Linked DNA regions of Rattus norvegicus. The main gene of each other region encodes a partner of the protein of the gene in region 3 in a complex. Links are inferred from orthologs where the notes say so. Each region holds a gene or a part of one and is shown on either strand. Other genes may lie near its edges. The genes, in order: Cnot7, Cnot8, Cnot10, Cnot11, Cnot2 and Cnot9.

Region 1 (2,662 bases), on a different chromosome or scaffold from region 3:
GGATGTAATCAGATAAAAAGCTCAACTGGGAAGATTCTTTTGCAAGGGAGTGCAGCTGAACTCACCAACATAGTGAATAATGACTTAGGACAGTCACAACAGCAGGATTAGAGATGTGAGCCTCCACACCCCGTCTTCTTTCAGTCAGGGTAAGGAAGAGAAGACAGTTGATATAAAGGGTACAGCATGCCTTGTTTTATGGCCCAGACCCAGGCTGGAGAATTTACTTATGGACCAGATGGCTTTACTGGAACTTTTTTTTTTCTTTTTTCTTTTTTTCGGAGCTGGGGACCGAACCCAGGGCCTTGCACTTGCTAGCTTACTGGAACTTTAAACACTAAAAAACCAGACCAATTTATTGAAAACACACACACACACACACACACACACCACCCCAGGTACTGAAGCATGACCAAATCCTGTTCCCAGAGAAAATGCCTCAAGTATTCAACACTTCTAAGTGCATGCTTCAAAACCAAAGTCACCAGTCACAAATATATAGGAAAACATTCTTGAAGCCTTTATTTACAAAAGCTTTAAAAACAAATAATACCCTCTGTTTTGCAAATAATGTTTAGTTTAAAAAGGACCGCCCAGGTACAGCATTTTCGTATCATGTATACAGAATGTACAAGGGAAATGAACTGTGTTGCTAACAGTTGGAGACTTTCTAATATTATTGATTGAAGTGTAGATAACACACATTACAACTTGTAGTCCGTCACTTCAGGGTAGAGTTAATGTTCACCAAAATCTTCCAACACATGCTCTGGTGTGGTCACGTATTCTGCATGGCTAAATATTTCACAGTCTCTTGTCAATATATATAAAATAGATTGCAAAGATATACACAAAAAAATAAACAAGCATTACACTCCTCAGGTAATTTTATTAGCTATATGTGTGTATTTATATATATATTTTGCATTTTGTTGTTTTGCACCAAATCTCTCCATTATTTATTTTTGTAGCATTTATGAAATCACATTTTTTTTTGTATTTTTAATTTGATATAAAATGTACCTAAAGACTTGTTATCTTTGGACTTTAATGAAATTGATTTGCGTAGTCAACAAATCAAGAACATCATAAATATGTTTATAAAATAAAACATTAAGGGTAAAAGTGATGGAGTAAAAGGAAGCCGGTCAAGGGAAGCGTTGCTGTCATAAAACTGTAGTTCCACATCTTAAACGCCAGTTTCTTTCTGGCAGAGTGGAAACCTCCAATCGCAAGGGCTTCTTCCTGAAGGGTGTAAAGCTGGTTTGAAATTCTTCAGTCACATAGCAGCCTATGCATGCCAATTAGAAACCAACAGACAGGAGATGTGTTCGGAAGGTTAAACACTACACACAGAAACAGTAGTTACTAGGCTCTTCAGTAGTTCCTTGTCTTCTTGTTAGTCCCGTTGAATCAACAATTTGCACAATGCACGTGCTGTACTCTGAATGTCAAAAACAAGCAAATACTGTAAAAAGGTGGTGGATGGTCATTTTTCTAGCTAAGAGCAAGAAAAATCACAATTTCTGATAAAATAGAGGATTGAAATCACTCTATAAAGTGCAAACTTGATGGTCCACAATCTTAAATACCTATAAGTACTGCAGAATAGGAGGAGAGGCACGGAAGAGGGAAATAAATTACAGTCAATGCTAGTTAATTTAGGAAAGGGAAAAACAAAACCAAGCTCAAGTAGGCAAAGTTTGTCAAATTATTCAGTAATGTAGCTTTGTCACACAAGCTTGATAAGAGGTGTATTAAATTAAGGCCAGATTTAACCTGAATGTACTTTAATTTATTAAGATCATAGCTAAGAAAGGCCATACTTATTACTGAAAGCAGAAAAGAAGGGCTACCAAAGGAGGGGCAGGTATTGCCTATTATTTAAGGGATGATAAAACCTATATACAAGCATGTGTGTAACTCGTATAAAATAAAAATAAGAAGACTATTTCCTGTCACGACTGCTTGCTGGCTTCCTCTTCATATGCATTCCCTGTGCCGTTCTGTACATAGGATGAGCCAGAACCAAGGCCGTATAAGTGGCCACAGTATTTGGCATCATCAATGTGATCTTCAAAGAACATCTAAAAATAAAATCGAAAGAAAAAAATCATCTTAAGCAAATGATATGACCTGTAGTTTATATCTCAACATTGTAATTGCTATTAATTAGGTAGAACAACTCTTTCCCGTGATGTTCCCTGGAGAAGCTATACTGCATATTTAACGAATAAGACTGACTGACGCCCTTCACTACAGGGCTCAAGGACCCTTTAAAATGCAAGTCTTTCTTTTTCATTAACATTTACTTCATCTTAACGAGAATTTATGAGCATAAAAACATGCAGACCGTTTAATTTCTTTAATATAACAACCTTCAAAGAATGAGAGAGATAATGGCAGAAGAAGAGGAGATGTTACACCATTTTAAGTTGTCTTAAGTCTAAGTGCAAGGCTGAATTGATTAAAATTAACCAAACCCTAAACATGTTATAGATAGTAAACACCTGAACATTCTCACTACATTGCCAGCCTTGAAGCCAAGGGCAATAAAGCTAACAAACTGGTGCCAGAAACTCACCATTAACTAGCTATAAGGCATTTTTAAAATAAAAATCCAAAAGGTGGTTCTATATTGAAACTAAACAATTTACTTGCG
Region 2 (3,988 bases), on a different chromosome or scaffold from region 3:
ACACTGAGTGGTGGCTCTCAACATAAAGAAACATGTGGCAGCTGCCTCCTGAAGGCACAATCCATTTCTTCTCCGGTTTTTCTTTTATTAATAAAGGCTGGCAAGTGAACTAGCAGAGACTAGGAAAGATGCTCACTCACAATGAATGCCCAGTAAATTCAACTTCCTGACAACTGAGAAAATGTTTACTCCAGACTTCTCCAGGCCGGCCTCTGAACTTGTAAAAATCCTCCTGTTTCTGCCTCCCAAGTGCTGCAGCTATCAGCATGAGCCACTGCACCTGGCTCTTGAAGTCACTTCCCATGTCTGGTTACTGAAAACAACAACCTTGTTTCCCTAAGCAAGCCATAAACTACATAGCAGGGAAGTGGGTGTCAGTCCTGGACTGCTGAAAGTTGTTTCCATTAAAACACAGGCATAAAGAAACAAACTGCCTAAAGAAAGAGTTTGTTTCGGGAAGCCAACCACTTTCAAAGCTACTGTTACATTATTATCAGGTAAAGGGCAGCCACACAGGAGCAGACACTGGCAAAGACACACAAGTCATCCCTGCAGCAAACCTTTCCCTAGCAAATCTGTGCAGATACGATCGGCAGATTTCAGCCCAGGAAAGGCAGATCCTTTCCAATGAAGAGGATGCCTGTGCTAAAACTTGGAAAGTTCCAGATCAGCCTTGGCTTCAGACCCTATAATTCAGATAGATCCACAAGGGATCCTTTGCAGACGTACAAGGGAGATCACATAAGGCACATTTTACTAAGCAAGTGAACTTTTTGGCATGCTGGCCACAGGGAAGAGAGAAAACAGCAACTCCACACAGGCAACCAGCCTCCTCCACTTTCCACCCAGGGAGCCCAGGCTCTAAGAAGCAGCACACTTCTTTTCTTCAGCCTCTCTTTCCCATACCTCAGATGAAGTGAGTCTATGTTTTCAAGTACAGTTATTAGTATAACAGCCCCTGAAGTAACCTCATTATTTAGGTTACAACCAGAAGAGCAATAATGAATTTCACGACTTAAAAAAAAAATGGCATCCTGAGCTATATACACTCAGAAATAAGACAGCAATCCCACGCTCAGGAGGCTGAGAAAGGAGTCACCAGGCCAGTTGGAGGAGACCCTGCTTTTATTTCACTGTTCTGTTTTGTCCTTTGAGACAGGTTTCTCTCTGTAGCCCTGGCTGTGCTGGAACTCACCGTGTACACCAAACAGGCCTTGGATTCGGAGATCCAACTGCCTCAGCCTCCAACTGCTGGGGTTAAAGGCAAGTACCACCACAACCAGCTGCGACCCTGTTTTTAAAAGAAAAGAAAGCAAACTAAACCAGTCAGTGAGCCAGCTGAGCAACTTGGCACATGTGTACACACAGATGATGATGATGATGCAACTTGGCACATGTGTACACCAATAATAACAAGAACAACAACAACAACAACAATAATAATAAAGGGGTTGGGGATTTAGCTCAGTGGTAGAGCACTTGCCTAGAAAGCACAAGGCCCTGGGTTCGATCCCCAGTTCCGAAAAAAAGAACAAAAAAAAAAAATAATAATAATAATAAAGCTTAAAGCAGAATGAGGGCTGGAGTAATGGCTGAGCAGTTAAGAGCACTTGCTGCTCTTGCAGACCAGAGTTTGGTTTCCAGCACTCATGTGAGTTGGCTCACAAATGCCTGTAACTCCAGCTCCAGAGAACGTTGACACCTTTTTGGCCTATTTTTGCCACCAACACACATGGCATTAATTGCAAATTCATACACTAATAAACATTAATCCCTAAAAAAAAAATCCTTCAAAGTTCTTCAGGAAGGTTCAGAGGTTGAGGCTGCATTCTCCTCTAAAGATTTATTTTTATTCCATTTATTTATGAGTATGTGAAAGAAGGGTTGAGTGCATCAACACCTAAGCGATCTCTCCAACTCCTTAAAGGAAAATTTTGATCCCATGTAATGTTTGCCTCACAGGCTGGCTTTAAAACTTGATCCCCAATCCAGCTACATTTGAAACTGCAAAGCAAAAGGTGTTCTCACACTCACATACATACACACACACCTTGCTCTGTGTTCTCACACACACACATACACCACAGACACACGCACACCCTGCCCTGTGTTCTCACACACACAGAGACACAGAGACACAGAGACACAGAGAGGGGGGGGGGAGTGTGTGTGTGTATGCGAGCGAGCAAAACAATCTCCTGATTGAAACCGCTCCTGATTATCCAAACTTCGGAGCAGGGTCTCTGTGCACCCAGGTGAGCAGTAGTGCAAGAAGTGCAAGCAAGTGAGAGCTCAAGAAACATGCTCTCCTTGCTAGCCTTGCAGACAGTTCAGCTGAGTGTCTCCTACTTGTCTGGTTTTGTTTTCGCCAGAGCGTCTGGGAAACAAAAAGCTTCACTTCCCTGTTCCAGAAGACTAAACAAAAGGCTTAGCCGAGCAAGACCGGCGAAGGAGGAAGCAGCGGCCCGTTAGAAGAAATGGCAACAGGTCCCCTCTGGAGCGTTCCAGGCCACAGCCCTGAACTCAGACGGCACCCCATCCAGCTTGCTGGCTACCCGAGAGCGGCTCTGCCACGCAAAGCTGCAGCACCCCAAGATCCAAGCAGAGAGGCCTCTTGCCTTCCCCCCGCCTCCTTAGGCCTCCAGGCTGGACTTAGGGGACCAAGAGCCCCCCTAGCCTCAGTGTTCCCGTGTGTAGGATGGGTCGCCACGGAGGCACTTCCGCCTCGAGCTCCTACCCTGGGCAACCCAGCCTGCTTACCCTGGCTGGCGGCCCCGCCGAGTGCGGGCGGCAGCGGCCCTTGACCCCGAGCTCTCCTCCCTCTTGCCCCGGATCCGCTCCAGGAACCCAACACGACAATGAGACGCAAGCCCCGGAGCCCAGAGCGGCCTACGATTTGCAACAAACCAGAAGGTTGAGCCTCTCTACCCTTCGGCCCTCCCGACTCGCCTACTCTTCGCGTCACTCGAGGCGTGCGCGGGCCCGCCAGTCTCGGCTCCTCCCCCAGTGCGCGCTCAGATACACGCGCTCCGCCTTCTTGCGCAGGCGCAGAACGAGAAAATTAGGGTTTTCGGAGGGCGCGTGCGCAAAACGAGGTATGCCCTGCGGCCTCAGACGGCGTCAAGCTGTGTAAATTGGATCCCCTTCTGGGTTCTGAAATATCCTAAGTCGCGCCTCGGGAGAAGACGGAATCTAGAGTTGGCCCCACTTCCTGACATCAGGGCGTATTAGGACTATTGGTTGGAGGTGATGGTGCAGGGAACATGGGGTGTCCTGACCCTCGATTACTGCGACCTGAACTCCTCACTCAGAGAACATCTATCCATAGAACCCCTTCTGAATGGCCATTAGGTGGGGGTTTGGGGGGCGCCACCAAATTAAGTCTTAACTGAGGTCAGCTGAGCACTGCCTCCCAGGACCTAGACGGAACGTTGTCTTGGCAACCAGCTAGCATAAGCAGCGCTGCACCCGGGCCTGTGCAGAGAGAGGGGCCAGTCCCGGAGAGGGTTCAGCTGGCAGCGAGGCCATGCTGGGATGCATCGCCATCTCGTGCTCTCCCACGCGGCGAGAAGACTAAGGCCTCTGAGGACCGCCTCCTCCTCTAGCGCAGCTCCAGCCTCCATCCCTGGTGCTTCCTCTCCAAGGGGCTCTGTAGGTAGGCGGACAGCAGGTGTCCCCCTCTGACGTCCCATCCCCCAGTTACTCTGCCCTTTTTATGTTAAACTTTTATTCCAGAAGTTTTTTTTTAACTTTTATTTATTTGTTTATTACGTATAAGTACACTGTAGCTGTCTTCAGACACACCAGAAGAGGGCATCAGATCTCATTACAGATGGTTATGAGACACCATGTGGTTGCTGGGACTTGAACTCAGGACCTCTGGAAAAGCAGTCAGTGCTCGTAACCGCTGAGCCATCTCTACAGCCCCAGAAGTGTTTTTTTTTTTTTTTTTTTTTGGTTCTTTTTTTTTTTTTCGGAGCTGGGGACC
Region 3 (2,497 bases):
ATACTGTCTGTTTTCAGACACACCAGAAGAGGGCATCAGATCCCATTACAGATGGTTGTGAACCACCATGTGGTTGCTGGGATTTGAACTCAGGACCTCTGGAAGAGCAGACAGTGCTCTTAACCACTGAGCCACCTCTCCAGCCCACATGAAGTTTGTCATGAGCAGCTGACTGACTCTTAATTGAGAACGTAGACCACGGTGCTGCTTGCTTGGAATTGCACAGCGCAGTATTTTTGTTTGGTTGGGTTTTTTTTGTTTTGTTCTTTGTTTTTTGGGTTTTTTTTTTTTTTTCTTTTTTTTGGTTTGGTTTGGTTTGGGTTTGTTTTTTAAAAGGATCTCTGGCAAAGTTTTATTAAAGGAAAACTTTCTTGTTTACTTCTCTTCTCACCGGTCTATTCTGGCGTGCTTTTAATAATATGAGAATCACCTGGGTCACTGACAGCCAGTGTGCATACTCTGTAGTATTTTCCACACGCTGTGCCCAATTCAGTGTTATTGCCACTGTGCTGATGGACACCAGTTTAAGCCAACGTGGCATAGTACTCTATTTCAGATTTCCTCAAAGCTGGGCAGTTGCTGGTGAGGATAACCAGGTTGCCTTGTCTGATCGTCTTCAGATCTGTCTGTGCCCCAGCACGTGCTTGCCACTTTTCATAACAAGCTGGAGCCTAGAGTTGATGGACTCCAGAGACTTTTTCGTCTTTTTTTTTTTAATTATTTTATGTATATGAGTATACTATAGCTTCAGACACTCCAGAAGAGGGCATCGGATCCCATTACAGATGGTTGTGAGCCACCATGTGGTTGCTGGGGATTGAACTCAGAACCTCTGGAATAGCAGTCAGTGCTCTTAACCGCTGAGCCATCTCCCCAGCCCACTTTTTCCGTCTTCTTTGCAGCCACCATCTTCTTGCCTTAGGTGCGGGACAACCCCCAACCAAGATCAAACGCCAAGATGGCTGGGGAGCGAGAAAGGGCTGGTTGTTATTTTTTTATCTGTTATTTTTATTCTTTTGTGTTTGTAATGGGTTCCACTATGTTGCCCTGGCTGGTCTGGAACTTACTGTGTAGACCAAACTGGCCACAAACTTATAGATCCAGCAGCCTCTGCCTCTTAACTAATGTATGTGATTAAATGTATATTCCACTGCTCCACACGCATTTTACAAGAATTGTCAAAAAAAAAAAAAAATCAAAGCCAGGCACTTGGGAATTGAACCTGGGTCCTCTGGAAGAGCAGCCTGTGTTCTTAACCTCTGAGCCATCTCTCCAGCATCTTCTGTTTTTATAGTTGAAGAGACTAATTAAATGCCTGGCACTCTGAGGGCCTGGCTGACTGAAAGCCAGGATGTCTATAGGAGGTGGTAGGCCTGAATCCCTTGAACCCCTTCTGTTGTACAGCCTGCCTGAGTTATAAAAACTTGTCTGGGCATCAGTTCCTCGTCCAGCTGGGGCAAGAGAGCAGAGCTGTCTAGGACTCCGTCATCTCCTTTTCAGGCTTCTGTCACCTTGCTCTGTACAGTGCTGTGTGCCTGCTCTCTTTAATGGACTGTGTTTCTCTAGGTAACACGCAGCTGGCCTTGCAGATGATCAAACGGAACCAGCTGCTCCCTGCAGTAAAGGCGCACTCCGATGTGAGGAAGAAGACAGTATTCCAGCCTGTGCACCCCATCCAGCCCATCCAGATGCCGGCATTCACCACGGTACAGAGGAAGTGAGCGCTCGCTGTGGAGGAGCTGTACCTGAGGCCCAGGGCGTGTTGAGGGCCTCTCAGTTGTCCACAGGAAAGGCAGTAGAGGAAATACAGTGGCAACAGTGCTGGCCGGAAGGCGGTTTGAGACGAGTGCACCCCTCGGTTTTATGGCAGAGGCTTACTTAAAACTAAGGACTCATAACCCACTGTCAGCTTTTATTTAATCTCTGCAAGTCTTTTAATTGTGAACCATTGTGTTGGTATGTCTGTGTCTAGGCATTAAAACATGTTCTTATCAGAACAGTTTTGTGGTCTGTTTTGAAATAGTTTAGCAACTGATTTATTGTTAAGGTTGAAAAGAAAGAACTAACAGGGGCTGGGGATTTAGCTCAGTGGTAGAGCGCTTACCTAGGAAGCGCAAGGCCCTGGGTTCGGTCACCAGCTCCGAAAAAAAGAACCAAAAAAAAAAAAAAAAAAAAAGAAAGAACTAACAAATATCTGCTCTAAGCATTTCAGAAGTTCTTCTTGGGGTACAGGAAGTGAGGTAAACTCATGCTCACCTCCAGGGTCTGTCTTTTTTTTTTGTTGTTGTTCTTTTTTTTCGGAGCTGGGGACCGAACCCAGGGCCTTGTGCTTCCTAGGTAAGCACTCTACCACTGAGCTAAGTCCCCAACCCTCCAGGGTCTGTCTTAGTCACTGCTCTGTTGCTGTGAAGAGATGCAAAAGGGAAGCATTTAACTGGGGCTGGCTTACAGTGGCAGGGTTAGTCCAGTACCATCGTGGCAGGGAATTTGGTGGCAC
Region 4 (3,500 bases), on a different chromosome or scaffold from region 3:
GTTTGGGTTCAAACCCAGGAGTGTTTGTGTAAAAGGAAAGGATGCCACAGGTCAGCCATGTCTCCAGCCCCCTAGATGAGTCTCCCTAACGTGTGTCCAGTGGAGGTCCTTTTATACCTAGTAGTCTTACCATCTCCATCCGTCTGTCTGACCATAGCTGACAGTCCTTACTCTGCTTTCCCTGGAAACCAACCAAACCAAACAGAAACCCACGGGTACCATCTGGGTGGTTTGAGTGATGAAGACGTTCTGCATAGGGGGTAGAGCATCATCCCCTGGTCACAGGACGTCCAGGATTTTGAAGCGTACGTCAAATGTGACTTCCATTCGGTGTAATCTCTGTGGCATAAGAGGGTTTACTGTTTGCAGTTTCAGCTCATTACAAGCCTGTCTCCAGTTATGTGGTGGTTTGGTTTGTACAGGATTTCTCTAAGTAGCCCTGGCTATCCTATAACTTACTCTGGCCTGGAGCTCAGAGATCCACCTGCCTCTGGGTTTGATTGCATGGACCATTGGTCAGCTATGTGCATAACTGAGCATAGCTGCACCTCAGCATCCCTACCTCTCAGGAGAAGTACTTCCTTGTGCTGAAGGCTCTTTGTGAGGAGAGGTAACGGGAATTCACTCTGGTGATGCTGGTGAGGGGACCCTGGAGATAATTGGCTTGGTGATCCTTTGCCAGGAACAAGCCAGATCTCCACTTCGGCTGATAGTGGGATCCATAATACAATGAACTACCTTCTGTCCTGTGTGGAAAATGCTCTCCGGAAGGCTGTGATGGGACTGGGTAAAATCAAGCAGGGAGAGGGAGTTCTTGTACCCCAGTGTAGTGGAAATTACGAAGTTCTTATCTCCTGGGCCTTTTGTGGGGCTTAGCAGGCAGGCAGGATGCACAGCTGGATAGAGGACTGGGTGTCTATCGTGTTAAATACTGAGATTTATAGTAAAGTTGTCTTATTGTGCGTGGTTGTTTGTGTATAGCACTGTGGGTCACTGGAGTTAGGCTGCATGTGTTATATATAAGAACATAATACACCACTGGGGCAAGCTGTGTGTTCAGGTGTTGTCAGATGAGGTCTCATTGTGTAGCTACTGAATGAAGGACAATGTTAGTTCAGAAGTACTGATGAGTTACACATCAACCTTGAGTTGTGGGGATAGCCCCAAGCACGATGTATAGCATTCTGAGACCCTAGGGGCCAAAAAAAGAAAGGGGGTTGGGGGGCTCATAAAATTTTAATTTTATGTTAGGTATGGTGACAATACCTTTAGTCCCAGCACTTGGGAAGCAGAGGCAGGCAGATCTCTGTGAGTTTGAGGGTAGCCTGGTCTACATAGTGAATCCCAGGATAGTCAGGGACATAATGAGACTTTAAGATAACAATCAAGGGTTGGGGATTTGGCTCACTGGTAGAGCGCTTGCCTAGCAAGCGCAAGGCCCTGGGTTCAGTCCCCAGCTCCAAAAAAAAAAAAAAAAAAAAAAAATTAGGAAAAAAAAAAAGATAACAATCATAATCATCAGCCAAGTTGACATCTGCGTCCTCAGCCTAAGTGGATATGCTTGCATTAAAACTTAATTCATGGGGTTGGGGATTTAGCTCAGTGGTAGAGCACTTGCCTAGCAAGCGCAAGGCCCTGGGTTCAATCCCCAGCTCCGGGAAAAAAAAAAAACAAAAAAAACCTTAATTCTTTCTAAAAAACAGATTTGGTATCTGGCATCATGCTGGTGTGTGTGTGTGTGTTTGTGTGTGTGTGTGTGTGTGTGTGTGTGTGTGTGTGTGTGTGTGTGTTGGTTATAATTTGAGCAGAACTCTGATCTTATATTATTACTATTTGAAGCATGTTTTATAATGTGTCCTTGTTAAAGGCATTCTTGTACTTGATTAAATGCATATAGGGTGTGTGTAAATGTTAGCTTGCTGATAGTCTTGTATTACTCTCATTATAGGTCATTTTCGCCCAGAGTTCATCCGCCCACCACCACCTCTCCACATCTGTGAGGATGAACTGGCCTGGCTCAATCCTACAGAACCCGAGCATGCCATTCAATGGGACAGGTCAATGTGTGTGAAGAATAGCACTGGTGTGGAGATCAAGAGGATCATGGCAAAAGCCTTCAAAAGCCCTCTGTCCTCTCCCCAACAAACACAGGTATGTATGGATTACACTATCCCATCTGTGCTCATCACAGTTTTCTTCCCAGGAAGTAGTAAGTGGGCAGTCAGTTGTTGATGTGAACCAGCAGGAGCAACAGAGGTCTTCACAATCCCAGCCGCTGTGTTGTGACCTTTCCTTGTTTGGCAGTTTTGCTCCGCTGAGACAAGAGGTCTAATGACTAAAAATGTCTAGACTCTTCCATTTTGTCTTGGAGAGAGGTAGGAGAGGGCGAGTGTCAGTCGGGCACATCATCTGCATTACTGCATCAGGCTGGACAGTGACTCTGGATGGTGTATGGGGTTACTAGTGTTTTATAAAAAAGGAGGTTCAGGGAATGCTCTAGACATTAGCTACAGTGTTTAATGGTAGACTGAGGATATCTTTCCTGCTACCCAAAGTTACAACTAGATGGATCCCCTGAGGAAGCAGAGCAAAGATACCAGGTGGTTGTAGATTTTGTTAGATTTTCACACTTTCAAGTTAGAACTGATAGGAAGACACACTTACCTCCAAGCTAGTTTTTTATTTAAAGTACAGATTTTTTTTTTTTAAAGATTTATTTATTTTTTTATACATAAGTACTTGCTGTCTTCAGACACCAGAAGAGGGCATTAAATCCCATCACAGATGGTTGTGAGCCACCATGTGGTTGCTGGGAATTGAACTCAGACCTCTGGAAGAGCAGTCAGTGCTCTTAACCACTGAGCCATCTCTCCAGCCCCTAAAGTACAGATTTTTTAAAAAGTTTGTTTTATACACATGGGTGGTTTGTCTGCATGTATATCTGTGTACCATGTGCATGCAGTGTCCACAGATGCCAGAAGAGAGCATCATCCTCTGGAACTGGACTTAGTGATACTGTGAGCCTCCATGTGAGTGCTGGGAACCAAACCCTGGTCCTCTAGAGAGTAGCAAGTGCTCCTGACCACTGAACTATTTCCTGGCCTCCCCACAAATATTTTTAAGTGATGTGATAACAGTTGTAGTCTGTTGCTCTTAGATGATCATGAAATGGTCCAGTGTTGAATACACAAGTAGGTAAAAGGAGATAGAGTTAGAAGGGATGGGTGTGATGCGTGCCTGCAACCCCAGCACGTGGGAGACAGAGACTGAGACTCAGCAGTTACAGGCCAGGCTCCACGGGATGAGGAGCTCAAAGCCAGCCTCAAAATAAATGGACTTTTAAAAGAAAGAAAAAGTACATATTTGGACAGAGAGAAAAAATGTTTTCCCACCTCTTGGATTTGCAAAGCATGGGTGTGTTTTGAGCCGTGAAGTACTGCAGGTGGAGGACGGAAGTGTTGCCTGTTCTGTCCCTCTCTGGGGCGCTTGGGTAAGACAGG
Region 5 (4,300 bases), on a different chromosome or scaffold from region 3:
GAAATGAGCAAGGGTTGGGGATTAAGCTCAATGGTAGAGAGCTTGCCTAGCAAGCGCAAGGCCCTGGGTTCAGTCCCCAGCTCCGGGGGGAAAAAAAAAAAAAAAGAAAAGAAATGAGCAGAGAAGGATTACTGGTATTTCTAATTTACCAGCAGTATAAAATATTTATTTTTGAAGTTTTAATAAATCTAAGGCATCTCTGAAAAACCAAAAAGCACCCACCTTTATATAGGGAAAATAAAGGTGATTATTATTTTAGGGAGCATATCATTTGGAGCTTGATTTCATTTTCAAATCAAAGAGTTCTCAGATGGCTGGGATAAAAACCACTCACAGACATCAATCTGCTTCATTTTCCACCAAACAAATTTATTTTAAAGCACTTTAGAAACAGAATTTTCCAAAGGCTGCATTTACTGATGTGCAGATGACTCTCAGCCTCTAGCATCTGGTAGGGTTACAGATATCTCTAGACTGTATCTTAGAACCCAAGTGCTCTGTCAACACATGCACTACCTTAACTTCTGTATATTAGTAAAGCATTAACAGGAATGCAAAGAAAAAAAAGCTAAATACAGTTTTTATTTCTGGTCTAGAGTTATAAAATACTTAGAAAAAAGTCACTTTTTAAAAAATGAAAAGGTTCCATTTTAAAAATAAGGATCCTGCAAAGTCAGTAAAAGTGAAAAGTAAAAGAAATTGTGCATTTTGAACTTTTCCTTTAGCTTTAAGATAACAACAGACTAGATAGGAGAGCATAAGGATCCTTGTTAATGATCTTGGATCATTAAGAAAACATATCAAAGACACAAAACCTCAACACAGACAATATGTGAATGTAGACAGTCATTTCAGTGTACTGGATTTTTAAACAACACTTCCAACTTGGAATAAAATACCTTATAAAACTACAAAGGTGACTTTTGAGAAGGAACTGTGTTGAATATGCCAAGCATTTCCAAACATAAACTGTTGTGAAAGTTTAAATTTCTATCCCACTCGCTCCATATAAATTACCCTCACTTATTTGTTTGGAAAGGGAAATCTATAAGAACACAATTCCATCTCCTTAAAATTTCTCACTATGGAGAATAATAGAAAAATGTGTTTTTGAACATCAAATGTCTCCCTTGTGAACAGATTTGGTTAACTCAGTATCATACTTTCTACCATTCGCCAAGAATCTAAGGATCATATTGCTATATTTTATTAGGAACTGTCCAGATGATTAAAGAGAAATTCTTGGCTAAGAATTTAATGAAAATGAAGCAAAACACTCTTAACACTTGTTTTTCCAGATGCTGAAAAGTGGAGATGTCCCCTAGGATTTCCAAGAAAGTGTGTAAGATATTTTTGGAAGTAATAACATACTAATGGGGTCTAAAGTAAATGCAAAAAACAAAACCTTAGAAATAATTTTACGAAAAGAAAAGTACAATTAGATTCCCCTAAGGGCCTACAGATAACAAGGATTCTAAGCTTTCTCCTAAGCAAACAGTACCTCAATTAAGAACTATCGGGTTTCTTTTAACCCAACTTATTTCTTCTATGAAACTTTGAAGTGAAGACCTAAAACAGCAAAAGGTAGAGAGGGCCCGGCGGAAGTAGAAACCAGGGCTTGCAACTTCAGAGTGTCTCCGGTTCCTCCTCCGCTGCCCCAGGACCATCCGAACTCAAGTCTACACCACAAGAGAAGCTTCCCTCTCCGGGTACGGTGGCAGAAGCAGCATCTTAAGTTGCTCTCCTCCCTCTACCTTGCAAGGCCCTTCGGTATCTCAGGGCCTGGAGGCTCCTGAGGCCCGTTAGCCAGTGCGATGTCCCCATCTTACACAAACAAAAACACACAAGTGGCGGAGGATGCGCGTGTATTGCCAGAATGGGAAGATTCAAGGACCAGCAGCTGCTGGGAACGTGGCAGAGCCGTCTAAAGCGGCCGGGGCTCCTCGGATGCTGCCGCTGCCGCTGCCGCCTTCTCTCCTACCCCAGGAAGCAGCACGGCGGCAGTGGCTGCTCCGCGCCGGCGGGAGCCGGGGAAGCGGAGTACCGGGAAAGCCCCGTCGCGGGCAGCCAGGACCGGGCCTAGGCTCCGGAGCTGCAGCGGCTGCGGCGGCGGCGGCGGCGGCGGCGGCGGCCCGAGCACGGCGACGCTTTACGTCTTGTCCACCCCGCCACACACCCCCTCCCTCCTCCAGCGCCGCCACCCCCCTCCCCGCCCGCTCCGCTCTCCCTCTCTCGATTGGAGCCGAGACAAAAGCAACGGGAAGCGGCGGGCCGGGACGCTACCCGCGGACCCCGGGCGCGACCGGACCAGCCCCGAGGCATTCCCCCGCCTTGAGGGGGCCCTCAATCCGCCTCCCCCGCCGCGCGCCCCGCTGCCAGACTTCCGAAAATTTGCCAAAAACTCACCGCATGAATTTTCTTGTCCCGCGGATCCAAGATGGCGACGTATCCACCGCGGAGGCTGCTGGGAGCAAGACCTTTACCCTCTGACCCCCGCCGTGACCCCCGTCGCTCCGACTTCGCTCTAAGGCGGCGGCAGAAGGTGGCGAGCGATGCTCGCCTCAAGGACAGAGTGTTTCCCGAACGCCGGTCGACGGTGAGAAGCACGGCGCTCCTCAGGAGCCTTCCCGGGCTTCCGCCAGGCGTCCCGCCACCTCCCGCGGAGGTGCGGCGCTGCCTTGTGGCGATTACGGAAAGTGGGGCCTCCGAGGCCTCGCCGGGCTTCCCAAGCCAGACCGCCACACCAGGAGCTGCGGCCTGGGGTCCGAGAGCGGCCTCGGGGGCGGGGGCGGGGAAATGCTGAGGCAGCGTGGGTCCGCCCACCTGGGGACGCACAGCGTGTTTGTGTTTGTGTTTTCGTCGGACACCCCGCCCCCGAGCACCTCCTGCAGTCTGTCCCCGGGCTAGTGCTACTACTACCTGCCGGCGCAGTGGCAGCGGTACTCAGGTCCAATCGTCGTTCCGCAGCCTGCGCTTCCCGGGTGCGCACCCCCAAACACCCGCCGCACGCCGCCGGCACCCCCCTGAGCAGTGAGTTCCCCTCCGCTGGAACCTGGGCGTCTGATCGCCGCCCCCCCTCTTCCTTTTCATATGTTTTTTCGGTTCAAACCTGGTGAGAGGAAGTAAGGGGAACGTGTTTTTAAAGCACCACGGGGAGGGCTTAATCTAACCGTCCGATGTTTATGGCATTTTACTTAGTTCCCGCCCGGCGCGCCCTTTGTAAACCTTAGTGATCAGCTGGCTCATCCACTAAACCTTTTGAAAATACGGTGGCTGTGGTGGGAACTTCCAGGGTTTTGTTCTCCAAAACAGTGCAATCCCTGAAAGTAAAATTCGTTTTCATTGCTGTAATACTCTTACTTTACTCCTTTGAACATCCATAAACTTCGTGTTTTATGGTTACTAAACTTGCGAAAAAAGCCTCTGTGTGTTTTGAAGTTACTAGTTTCATAACGCATTGCTATTCCTGTTTGAGTGGTAGAACTTATTAATGTGGATTACTACTAATTTGAAGTAAATAAAATTTCTGCTGTTTTATTTTTTTAAAATTACCTTCTTCCAGCCCCATCCCCCACCCCAATCAACCAATATATATCACTTCGGTTTATCATAGTTGAAGGCCAGAAAAAGGAAGATAAAACCCAAGATGAAATTAAAAGTACTTTTGTCAAGGTTTTGAAGGTATTTTGGTTTATCAGCAAATATGCATAACAGTAGATATGTAAATTTGTTTAAATATCAACAGGAACTGGTATAGCCAAATAGAAAAGGTTTATTTTGCTGGGTTTTTCATTAAATACTCCATTTTACCCTTTTGTGTTTTGTTTTGGTTTTACTTCAGGGAAATTCAAGAAGGAACTACACAGTCCTATATGGCCCCTCCCCCAAGAGTGCTTTCCTATCTCTTCTGCTTTCTCTTCCTCTCAAGTTAACATCTACTGCTGTAAGGTAGTGTGTTCAAAGACTGAGTATACCTCTAGGCACGTACAGTTCTTGTGTATGAATGCATGTAATACAGAGCACCTTAATCTGGCTACTAATTATTTGGAGCCCTTTATGTGTATATAGTAGCATTATCACATTAAATAACATTAAATATTTGAATTCATTACTCTTCTTACCTATATTAACTTAACACATTTTTGTCCAAGTTTTAAAAATTGCTTTCAGTGGAGAAGGTCTGAGTTTTACTATGATTGGGTTTTACTAGGTGAGATAACATTTTCTTAATTAATGTGTGGAGCAAATTAATATGTGGAACTGGAATGCTAGGAAAGCATTCAATGAATGACCTAACATT
Region 6 (3,500 bases), on a different chromosome or scaffold from region 3:
ACTCCAGGTTGCCACATTCATCCTCCAGAAGATCCTCTTAGATGACACTGGTCTGGCTTATATATGTCAGACATATGAGCGTTTTTCCCATGTTGCCATGATCTTGGTGAGTTCTTTCCTTTACTCTCTTTGCAGTTTATTTTGATCACAAAGCTTAGTCATCTTGTAACTGGTCAAAAACTTAGTCTTCTAACTAGAAATAACTGTTCTGGCCAGGTATGGTGATATATGCCTGTCATTCCAATATCTATAAGGCAGAGGGAGGCAAAAGGATGAATGTGGACTTGAAGCAGCAGCGTGGGTTTCTCACCAGCCAACTGAAGAAGTAGTGTCCTATCCCCAAAATACTAGCTGGAGTGATAGTATATGTCTTTAGTCCCAGAACTCTAGAGGCAGAGGCAGGCAGATCTCTGTGAGTTCAAGTCCAACCTGATCTATGTAGGGAGTGCTTAACTGGCCAAGGCCACATATAGAGACCCTGTCTCAAAAAGGAAAAAAAATCTCAAGAACTTTAAAATGATTCTTAGATGATCTGATTTCTGGTGTCAGTTCAAATTATTTTGTGACTTTCCCCCACATTTTTTTTTTTTTTTTTTTTTTTTTGGGTAAAACAGGGTAAAATGGTCCTGCAGCTATCCAAAGAACCATCTGCCCGTCTGCTGAAGCATGTAGTAAGATGTTACCTTCGACTCTCAGATAATCCCAGGTAAAGATTTAACAGGATTCACAAGATTTGGGAGAAATAGTCTCATGAATGGATTCTAATGTTACGGCTCAGACCCTCTGTCTTGAGTATTAGAACCCATATAACTTTAGTTTACCTAAGAAAAACTTAAGTTCCTGTTAAAATCTAAAATTCTGACTTTAAAGTGCACTAGTGGGCTGGAGAGATGGTTCAGTGGTTAAGAGCCCTGACTGCTCTTCCAGAGGTCCTGAGTTCAAATCCCAGCAACCACATGGTGGCTCACAACCATCTGTAATAAGATCCGATGCCATCTTCTGGTTTCTGAAGACAGTGACAGTGTACTCACATCCATAAAATAAATTAAACTTTGTTTAAAGTGCACTAGTTAGATCTTCCTGTTGTAACTCTGTTCTACCCTGAAATTCCCAAAAGCCCAAGCAATTTCAAGGGAGGCTAGTGCGGTTTGGGCTTTCTATGGCTACTCCAAGTACTCAGAGTACACTTTAAGGTCTCTGCAAAGTCCTGTAGCCTAGAGGCTTTTTTAGCTTGCAGTTCTCTGCTTCCTGTAAACTATGGAGCTCATTACTTTTTCTTGGTAGGTTCAAGAACTCTGCCACAGTCGTGTACTTTGTAGATAGATGTAATGCACTTCAGAAATGTTTGACCTTTTCTCCTGTTAATACATAATTTATGATGAAATCTACATGTTCAGATTCTGCTAAGCCACATAATGGAGTGCTTTCTGAGTTCCTAAGAATCAAGTGGCTTGACTAATGTGAACTGGTCTGTAACCACTGGAGTTATTTGAGCCCTAGCTATTCTTTGATCATTTTGTCCTTTTTTTTTATACCCCCCCACCAGTTTGCAATATACTTATTAGAAATTAACCTGTTTGAGTCTAAGAGCTGAAACTGTGTAGAACAGCTCTGTATAGAGTTGGTATTTGCTTATTTTAGGCTTCTAGATTAAAAACTGCTACCATAGTTTTTACTATTTTTTATTAAGGTTTCAGATACAAAGTTGAAACATTTCTGTAAAACCATAACTGGTGTTAGTGTAAAATTAAAATCGGTTTATCATACAAATAAGGTCATATCTGCTGTTAGTATACAATTTTTTAAATAATTTCATTTCTCAAACTATATCTAATGGTATTTCGACAATATTTATCAATAAATCAGAACAAAGTTTGGAGTGAAATGAACTATTGCATCATATTATTCCATTTTGCTTTTGCGTGAAATTCTGCATTGGGGTGTGGTGAAAATATTTGTGGACTACATAGCACCTACTTTAAGGAATTCTAATGGTTTCTTGGTATAGCTTGATAGCTATAGATTCCTAGGAAGTTGCATGTTTATATCTAAGAAAGGGGGTCTTCCCAGCCCCCAAATGTGGGCTTATTTGTTGTCTTTCTGGTTGGTTTGTTTGTTTCTGATGTAGGGCACGTGAAGCACTCAGACAGTGCCTCCCTGACCAGCTGAAGGACACAACCTTTGCCCAGGTGCTAAAAGATGACACCACCACCAAACGCTGGCTTGCACAACTGGTGAAGAACCTGCAGGAGGGCCAAGTCACCGATCCCCGGGGAATTCCCCTGCCCCCTCAGTGATCCTCGACATTCCCTCTCACTACTCCCCTACGTTGGGGAGTAAGGGTGGAACCTATGAGGAAAACAGCTCAGGTTTTATTGCCGACTGGGAATAGACAACCTCAATGCTGAACTGTACTGGAGAAAAGGGGCAAGGTACCCCACTGAGGTGTGTGGGCTGACTGGAGGTCCTGGATCCCCCTACTGCTCCCAGGAATTGGGCTCCTGACAGCAGTCTGCTACCACAGCCCCAGGAGGGTGTCAACACCAGCAAATGCTGTATTTGCAGCATGCCCAAGATGACCCTGCTCCCCAACCTCTGCCTAGCCACTGGTAGAGAGAGGAGAGGTGGTAATCACAGTAACACTGTAGGCATGGAGAGCACCTGGGACCAAACCATGTGGCTTTTTTTTAAAAAAAAAAAAACAAAAAACAAAAAACTTTGCCTTCCTGGACGACTCAAGGTGTGTCTCTTAATTCTCTCTCACACAGTATTTGTTTACTTTGGATTTTTGTTTTTAATCTCAAAAGAGAGAGATGTGTTTAATGGACACAAGCTGTAGTTTTCAGCAAAACTTTGTCAGTTGGCACTGTTTACACGTCTCTTAGCTGCATAAGCTCAATAAAAGTTGGTCTGGGCATTGCATCCCCTCGGGCAGACCGATGGCGCTATCAGGCTGTTGGGTGGAATGGGAGGCAGGGGAAGAGGAAAGCAAAGCCAAGCAAAAACACTACCAACCATTCCCCTCTGCCCCTGTTGTTTCCCTCGCAAGCCTGGCTGCTGTGAGGACATTCACTTTGGCTCTGGCTTCGGCTGCTAGCCCACCCAAATCTCAGCGCTTGCCCCTTTCCTACCACTTAGACTTAAAGCAGGCGTCTTAATTTACCCAGCCTTCCTTAGAGAGTTGTACTGGGGTGGAGGGAGGCAGTTCTTCAGGTTCAAGTCTTCACAGGTAGTTTCCAGGTGTCTTCTCAAATGGAACAAGCACCTAGATCCAAATGGGGCCCTGACCCCGTTCTTCTCGTGTGGGTTTCAGTAGTGCCATCTCCTCATGATTATACTTGAAGCAGTATTAGCTGAATGAGTTTTTTCAGAGTTAAACAGCTGCACTCTGCTGTCTCAGTCCCCTCTCCCTTTAACACTTTCTTTGGTCTATGGAAACTACAGGGCTACCACTGGAATGTTTTTTACTTGTTGATAGTGTCAGAGTTCCCTTTCCATCT

Evidence for each region.
Region 1: Cnot10 (region 3) and Cnot7 share a complex: the UniProt entries of both Homo sapiens proteins name them as parts of the CCR4-NOT complex. The link is inferred for Rattus norvegicus from reciprocal best matches to the Homo sapiens genes CNOT10 and CNOT7.
Region 2: Cnot10 (region 3) and Cnot8 share a complex: the UniProt entries of both Homo sapiens proteins name them as parts of the CCR4-NOT complex. The link is inferred for Rattus norvegicus from reciprocal best matches to the Homo sapiens genes CNOT10 and CNOT8.
Region 4: Cnot10 (region 3) and Cnot11 share a complex: the UniProt entries of both Homo sapiens proteins name them as parts of the CCR4-NOT complex. The link is inferred for Rattus norvegicus from reciprocal best matches to the Homo sapiens genes CNOT10 and CNOT11.
Region 5: Cnot10 (region 3) and Cnot2 share a complex: the UniProt entries of both Homo sapiens proteins name them as parts of the CCR4-NOT complex. The link is inferred for Rattus norvegicus from reciprocal best matches to the Homo sapiens genes CNOT10 and CNOT2.
Region 6: Cnot10 (region 3) and Cnot9 share a complex: the UniProt entries of both Homo sapiens proteins name them as parts of the CCR4-NOT complex. The link is inferred for Rattus norvegicus from reciprocal best matches to the Homo sapiens genes CNOT10 and CNOT9.

What each region holds. Positions count from the first base shown.
Region 1 is NC_086034.1:58,495,882-58,498,543, reverse strand, and holds the end of Cnot7 (CCR4-NOT transcription complex subunit 7), read right to left. Parts: intron 2,088-2,662; coding exon 1,959-2,087; 3' UTR 501-1,958; downstream 1-500. UniProt on the Homo sapiens protein: Has 3'-5' poly(A) exoribonuclease activity for synthetic poly(A) RNA substrate. Its function seems to be partially redundant with that of CNOT8.
Region 2 is NC_086028.1:42,781,058-42,785,045, reverse strand, and holds the start of Cnot8 (CCR4-NOT transcription complex subunit 8), read right to left. Parts: upstream 2,801-3,988; 5' UTR 2,761-2,800; intron 2,745-2,760; exon of another isoform or gene 2,619-2,744; intron 1,526-2,618; exon of another isoform or gene 1,452-1,525; intron 1,318-1,451; exon of another isoform or gene 1,292-1,317; 5' UTR 1,196-1,291; intron 1-1,195. UniProt on the Homo sapiens protein: Has 3'-5' poly(A) exoribonuclease activity for synthetic poly(A) RNA substrate. Its function seems to be partially redundant with that of CNOT7.
Region 3 is NC_086026.1:123,158,175-123,160,671, reverse strand, and holds the end of Cnot10 (CCR4-NOT transcription complex subunit 10), read left to right. Parts: intron 1-329; exon of another isoform or gene 330-715; intron 716-1,566; coding exon 1,567-1,721; 3' UTR 1,722-1,997; downstream 1,998-2,497. UniProt on the Homo sapiens protein: Component of the CCR4-NOT complex which is one of the major cellular mRNA deadenylases and is linked to various cellular processes including bulk mRNA degradation, miRNA-mediated repression, translational repression during translational initiation and general transcription regulation.
Region 4 is NC_086027.1:49,313,624-49,317,123, forward strand, and holds part of Cnot11 (CCR4-NOT transcription complex subunit 11), read left to right. Parts: intron 1-1,948; coding exon 1,949-2,151; intron 2,152-3,500. UniProt on the Homo sapiens protein: Component of the CCR4-NOT complex which is one of the major cellular mRNA deadenylases and is linked to various cellular processes including bulk mRNA degradation, miRNA-mediated repression, translational repression during translational initiation and general transcription regulation.
Region 5 is NC_086025.1:54,105,161-54,109,460, forward strand, and holds the start of Cnot2 (CCR4-NOT transcription complex subunit 2), read right to left. Parts: upstream 2,801-4,300; 5' UTR 2,412-2,800; coding exon of another isoform or gene 2,407-2,411; intron 2,153-2,406; exon of another isoform or gene 1,502-2,152; intron 1-1,501. UniProt on the Homo sapiens protein: Component of the CCR4-NOT complex which is one of the major cellular mRNA deadenylases and is linked to various cellular processes including bulk mRNA degradation, miRNA-mediated repression, translational repression during translational initiation and general transcription regulation.
Region 6 is NC_086027.1:83,553,869-83,557,368, forward strand, and holds part of Cnot9 (CCR4-NOT transcription complex subunit 9), read left to right. Parts: intron 1-7; coding exon 8-106; intron 107-614; coding exon 615-706; intron 707-2,128; coding exon 2,129-2,297; 3' UTR 2,298-3,500. UniProt on the Homo sapiens protein: Component of the CCR4-NOT complex which is one of the major cellular mRNA deadenylases and is linked to various cellular processes including bulk mRNA degradation, miRNA-mediated repression, translational repression during translational initiation and general transcription regulation.